Linked DNA regions of Ovis aries. The protein of the gene in region 2 interacts with the protein of the main gene of each other region in a pairwise test. Links are inferred from orthologs where the notes say so. Each region holds a gene or a part of one and is shown on either strand. Other genes may lie near its edges.

The links. The genes of interacting proteins can lie anywhere in the genome.
Region 1: the proteins of ID1 (region 2) and MYF5 interact in binary tests that used the Homo sapiens proteins (3 or more experiments, as listed by UniProt). The link is inferred for Ovis aries from reciprocal best matches to the Homo sapiens genes ID1 and MYF5.

What each region holds. Positions count from the first base shown.
Region 1 is NC_056056.1:116,772,690-116,776,404, reverse strand, and holds the start of MYF5 (myogenic factor 5), read right to left. Parts: upstream 2,836-3,715; 5' UTR 2,679-2,835; coding exon 2,178-2,678; intron 1,337-2,177; coding exon 1,261-1,336; intron 856-1,260; coding exon 665-855; 3' UTR 1-664.
Region 2 is NC_056066.1:60,849,255-60,852,234, reverse strand, and holds ID1 (DNA-binding protein inhibitor ID-1), read right to left. Parts: upstream 1,760-2,980; 5' UTR 1,659-1,759; coding exon 1,236-1,658; intron 1,072-1,235; coding exon 1,030-1,071; 3' UTR 615-1,029; downstream 1-614. UniProt on the Homo sapiens protein: Transcriptional regulator (lacking a basic DNA binding domain) which negatively regulates the basic helix-loop-helix (bHLH) transcription factors by forming heterodimers and inhibiting their DNA binding and transcriptional activity.

The DNA of each region.
Region 1 (3,715 bases), on a different chromosome or scaffold from region 2:
AATGACTGCCAATTCCACTAGGGGGTTCTTTTAACAAAGTCATAAACCCAAATATTTCTTCACTTAAACAATTTTATTTATGGTGGAGTTTCCAAAAATCTCTTATATCTTGAAATCATCCACAAAGTACTATTTTGTGCCTAGATTAAAAATGTATTTCTTATAAGCAAATGTTAAAATATATACCATTAGGCAGTATTGTTATATTTTATTTAACACAATATAAATCAAAGGATTAAAGAGAAAAAGCAAAACAGTTAAATATATTTAAAACTCCCCTATAACTGATTTATATCTATTCTAATGTTTTAAAGAAAAAAAATAAAGCACTAAACATCAGAGGTAATATTTTGATAAGCAATATTTATAAAAATATATAAGTTAAGCATTGCAACAAACTACCTTTGATGAACGGCCCCTATAAGAAATAATATCATTGGAACTATATATCTAAAGCAAAGATGAAGGAAAAGAAGAAAAAAAGAAAGTATTAATTGCAATAGTGACTTTTTAAATACACTTTCTTATAAAGTGGCAAGATAATATTTACAAATTTACAACAGAACAGCAATGTTTATATACAGGTTGTCTTGCTTTTGGATTTTTGGTGCCTCCTTCCTCCTGTGTAATAGGCCTTCTGACAGAACTGATCTAGGCTTTTAGTTCATAGCACATGATAAATGAGCCTGGAACTAGAGGCCCCTGGAGTTGCAGGCTGAGAATCGGTGCTGGCAACTGGGGAGAGAGAGGCTGGATCCTGGAGAGGCAATCCAGGTTGCTCTGAGTTGGTGATCCGATCCACTATGCTGGATAAGCAATCCAAGCTGGATAAGGAGCTTTTATCCGTGGCATATACTAAGGACACAAGGAGAAAACCATTAAAAAAAAAAAAAAATCCTTGCTTATGCTGCCGCTTAAACTGCAGGTCAGCTCCTTCGAAACCCAAAGGTCAGGTGGTCACAGAAAGCCTGGTAGAAATTTGCAACAAATATCTAGCAATTCATGGGGATGAAGTTGGGGAGTGGAGAAGCACCTGGGTAATATTTCAAGCAAAAGCTCACGTCTGTGTGTATGTGCATGGATGTATCTGTTAGGAGGATTTTGAGCAGAAGATATGCGTTTATTTTGCCCTGCCAAAACCCCCATAAACACCATTCTGTTCTCTTCCCAGTACTGCATGGAAGAACAGACTCTACTTTGATAGGCTAAATTCTGAAGTTGGACTGGTCTTTAAACTCCTCTGAAGTCATTGGTTCTTACCATTTGGTACATCAGGACAGTAGACGCTGTCAAAACTGCTGCTCTTTCTGGACCAGATAGGGCTGTTACATTCAGGCTATAATAAAAGACACAGAAAAAGGCGTTTGTTTTCAGGTCTTGGCAAAAGGTGCTCTGATCTCAGGTGAGGCAGTGCTTGCCCACCAGCTCCATAAACTGACCACTCTCAATCACCTTTATTGCCTTGATTTAGGAAGGGCTAGCCTCACCAATCGCAAGGGCACTGAGGTCAATCTCTGCGCTTGGAGAAGAGGAGAGAGGCAGCAGAAAGAAGAGGGTGGAATTCAGCAGCAGTGTACACTGGGTTAACCATGCAAAATGGATTGGAGTAAAAGGAAGCCACACTAATTCAGAGAGAGAACACTTTCCCAAGGCAGAAACACATTAAAACCTGGCAGCGCTGGAGCAAACGCCCTCTGAAAAGAATGCATGAACAACTTTCAGCCAGGCATCAGCAGAGTAGGGGCTGGGGCCATGCAGGCATTTCTTTCTGTTTCTCCCTTCAGTTACAAACCGTGGGGCAGTGGAGGCCTCAGACAGTTGCCTTTAGATGTTAGTGTATGTCAAGGTCCACTGGTAGTATATTGGAGAAGGCAATATACTGGAAATAAACTGAGTAATGGAGGAAACATCTGACTGATCACTCACAGCCAGCTATCTCAAGTGACAACCTGCTCCTTCAGTGTGCACCTAGAGTAGGTAGGAAGTCAAGACAAAATTCTGTTCAACAGCTGTCTGTGTGCTGGCATCGGTCCAAATGTGGCATCTCTCTTCTCTTCTAAATGTGGTGGGCCCCGCCCCACCCCCCAATACCCAACTATCCACCAGTGGTCTAAATGAGATGTAAGGATTTTTGCAAAAGTTGGGAAAGCCCTAGCAGGTACAGAGCCATCTCTTACCATGCCATCAGAGCAACTTGAGGTGGGGCTGGTGGGCTCAGAACAGTTCTGCCCTGGCAGGCTATAGTAGTTCTCCACCTGTTCCCTTAGCAGCTCCTGCAGGCTCTCAATGTAGCGGATGGCATTCCTGAGGATCTCCACCTTGGGCAGCCTCTGGTTAGGGTTGGTCGTGGTGCACCGCTTGAGCGTGTCGAAAGCCTGGTTGACCTTCTTCAGGCGTCTCCGCTCGCGCATGGTGGCCGCCTTCCGCCGATCCATGGTGGTGGACTTCCTCTTGCATGCTTTGCAGGCCCACATGAGGCAGTGGCCGGCCTGGTGGTGGCCCGTGGGTGCTCGCACGTGCTCGTCCTCGTCTGAGCCTTGCAGGTCTGCCTTGTGAGCCCCGAAAGCAGCCACTCGCGGCTCAAACTCGTCCCCGAACTCGCCCTCGGGGGATGGGATGCAGGAGCCGTCGTAGAAGTACTCAGAGGGCGAGAACTGGCAGCCGTCCATCATGTCCATCGTCTGCAGAGAGGCAGGGGGTGGGCCTGGACAGCAGCGAGATAGATAGGGGAGAAACCGGAGCCTGGCGCCGCTGAGGGCCGGGAAATCCCGGGCCGAGCTCCCTGGTCCGTGTCTCTGGTAATTAACAAGGGCAGACGCCTGGCGGCCCGGGTCTGCAGCGCTGGGGCTGGGGCTCTTTATATATTCTTGGGGGAGGGAGGCCGGCCCCTGTGGCCCCGCACTATTAGCATATCCCACCGCAACCCCCGCCAGGGCTGTCTGGGCAAACCTCCGGCTTTTCTCTAGAGACAGTTTGCTGTTTACTGCCCCTTTTGACGCTAATGGTTTTACTGCGTTTCTGCTGGGGCGGAGGTGATGGCTCCCCAATCCGCTTACTTGCACTCTTTACCTAAACCAAGGGACACTTAGAGGGTGTCACAGACAAAAGGAACGAAGGAAATCCAACTTCGTACAATTGCTCTCACTTTTAAAAAGAAAATCGGTAAATAGAGCTCCCCATTTCAGTTGACACCAAAAGCGGACCCGCCTTCCCAATCTGAGACGTGAAGGATCAACTTTATTTTCAGGTAGTTCTCTTTTTCGTGAACTTTAGTTGTATCAGGAATTTTTTCAGCCAGTAGGCCAAATAACAGCTGCTAAAAACTTCAAGTGGCACTTTTAATAATGAAGTGGCTCTAGATTTTTTTTTTAATCTGTTTTGTTTCTCATCAGATTGCCAGTATGTAGGCTTTGTGTTATTGAGGGGTAACCTGGGAGGTTCCTTTTCTCCAAAAACAGCTCGCTCTGAGTTTTCTCTCTGCTCATCTGAAGGGCGTGGGCACAGGAGGGCCAGGTGACCAGGAACACCCCTGGCTTTCTCTCTTTCCCGCTTCTGCGCCTGTTTGTTGAGCGCCTCCTCCTGTGATGGACCTGCGCAGGCGGAAGATCCACCCTGACTGCGTCTCTAAGATTTGTGTTCTAAGAAACCAGGTTTTAGAGATGAACTCCTTCCCAGGGGCTCGTCTCCCTTCTCCCTCTTTCTGCCCCGCCCTGTC
Region 2 (2,980 bases):
GCCTGGCCAGGGTGAGGGGGCAGAGTCCAGACCCAAGAGCAGGTGGCCCAGCAGCTGTGACTGGTCTGGTCCTGCCAACTTGCTCACCCACTTGGACAAAGCTGAAGCCCTGGGGCAGCCTGCTGGGATCCAGGGTTTGGTGGCCCAGGGGGGAGGCGTCTCCTTCTGGGGAATGGGGCAAGTTGGAAGTCTTGTCCCCGACAAGCTGAGGTTCTCACTATCCCCATTTAAGCCAACATGCAGGTCCAGTGACCTGGTTCTCCCAAGTAACCGACTTGTTGATACTCTTCAACCCAAGAGGGGGCCTTGGCAGATTGATCTGCATTTGACAACCTCCCCAGGTGACCCAGATGGCCCCAGGACCACTTTGAGAAACCTTAAAAGTCTGAAGGATTTAATTTTATGACACTGGGGAGAGGGGGAAATGGCCAGGGATGGGGCGGGGTGGGGGGGGGGAATAGATTTTAAAGACACCGGAAACACTCATTTCAGGTCGGTAAAAGCGACCGTCCAGATGTGGCCTTCCCGTCCCCTCCCCCAGCAGCAGCTGTGAAAAGGGTCAGGGGTCACCGCCAGCCCAGGTCCCTCCCATCAATCCAAGAAGTCACTGCAGCTTTATCACCATCTAAAGTATTTGTTTAATAACAACAACCAAAAAAGAAAACAACACCCCACAGAACTATTGTAAAACAATATTCTCAGTCGGTGATCATTGTAATATACAATACAAAGCAATTAATTTCCTCAGAAATCTGAGAAGCACCAAACGTGACCATTTTTTAAATGTCCGCTTTTCAAAAAATAGAAACACACGAGGGGGGACTCCCCCAAGTCTCTGGTGGCTGGTGGGTGAGAGTCAGCCTGCCCTGTCAGTCCCCCAGACCCGGGCTGGATCCTGCAAGCGCCCCGGTGGCCGCCGATCGGTCTTGTTCCTCCCCAGCTCCGGCGAGGCGCCTGGAAGGACCGGAGAGCACTTATTCTTCTCGCCCCCTGGAGGGCTGGGGTCTGCCGGCTCCCAAGGGCGACGCTTCAGCGACACAAGATACGATCGTCCGCTGGAACACACGCCGCCTGTGAAAAGATAAGAGTTGTTTTTTTTAACGATCGCATCCTTGAGCACCTAGGTGCCCGAAAGGATGGGGCGCATATAGGGTCAAGCACTCCCTCCCGCTCTGAGCCTCAAGTGTCCCCTTCCGTAGAAGAAAAGTGATCTCCTACTCCAACTCGGACCTCACCTCTGCTGCCAGGGCGCCGATTTCGCCATTGAGAGTGCTGAGCGGAGCCCGGGCGGGGAGCCCCCGGCCCCCGGGGGTCCCGACGCGGGATTCCGAGTTGAGCTCCAACTCCAGATCCCAGATGTAGTCGATGACGTGCTGGAGGATCTCCACCCTGCTCACCTTGCGGTTCTGGGGCAGGGTGGGCACCAGCTCCTTGAGGCGCGAGTAGCAGCCGTTCATGTCGTAGAGTAGCACGTTGACCGGCTGCTCCTCCAGCAGGGACGGCAGGCGCGCCCCGGGGCCGCCCGCGCAGCGCGAGATGGCCACGCTCTGCTCGGACAGGCAGCGCACCACCTCGCCCGCGCCGCCCGCCGTCTTGCCGGCCTTCAGCGCGCAGCTGGGGCCCGCGGCGGCCGCGGCGCTGCCACTGGCGACCTTCATGATGCCGGCTTCGGGAGAAAACGAAGCGGACGGAGGAGGAAGAGGACGCCGGTAGTGGGGAAAAAGTCGCGGACGCAAAGAAGCCTGCAGTGCAAAAGCGCAACTCAAGCACCCCAACCCGACTTTTATAAAGATGCCGCGCGCCTCCCCGCCCCTTCCTTAGGGGGCGGGCTCAGATGTTCAAAAACAGCCAATGGAAGGCTTAAAGGCGTGGCCTGGAGGGCTTCTGGGTCCTGCCTCCTGCTCCCCTAGAGAGAGCACCCTCACCCGCGTGGAAAAGCAACTTGAGTCGCAGGAACAGAGAGAGTGGGAGGCGGGGGAATAAGATAGCTAGTGGAGGCGAGGGCTGCCCAGAAGGCGAAACCGGTTATTACTGATCACGAAAAGATTCCAAGAATCAGTTTTTTCAGGGATATGTTCTCATTTCTCCAGCCCCATTTTACAGATGAGCGAAACTGAGGTCCCGATGGAGAAGCAGCCTGGGCTTCTGGACCCTATTGGAAGATTACCTTTGAGACTCTGATCTTCCCAATATTTGAGCTGATATTTAAACTGGCCCTCTACACTCTGTCCACCCCCGGGAGGCGGGGGGCGTTCTCCTTTCCCAATTCCCAGAGAACGCTGCTGGTGACTATTCCTGGGACCGGGCAGGCTTACCCAGGCACCTCAGGATGGGAGCAATTAATTCTGGAAAAACTTCCTTCACTACTGGAGGCTTGGGCCCCTGGGACCTGAGCAAGAAAAAGGCACCCAGAGTGGGCTGTCTTCCCTGATTTCTCCCCTGAATTTGCAGCCCCAAATCTGCATCATTAAGTAATTAAATTTTTTTTTCTCCCTTTTTGGCTTTTTTCCCCCAAAGACCGCTGGGATCAGGGTCTCCCTCCCACGGCGCGGCAGCTGCGGAGCTCTCGTCGTCCCCCCCCCCCCCCCCCCCCCAACCCCCCACTCCCGGGGCTGCTCTGTGTCAGCGTCTGAACAAGCTGCTCAGACCGTTAGACGCCAGGCCCGTGACGTCACCCATTCATAAAACCCGGACGGGCTGTCAGGCTGGCGCCGTGAGGGCGGTCGCCATGGAGACGGCAAACCGGGCCTCAGCGCTCCCTAGCTACCCCCAGCCCGGCCAGTCACCTGCAGACCTCGAGTGGGAAACCTGGGGATACGCTCGTCGCGGGCGCGGTCGCTGAGCAAGGGTCACCTTACCTCCCGGCCCCACACGTGGGAATCTCTCCACCAGGCCCACAGCTCGGGCTGCTTGAGAGGTTTCTTCACCGCCCCCCTCCCCAACTCTCTAGTTCCCGGCTCCCGCCTGGGGAAAGACCTCG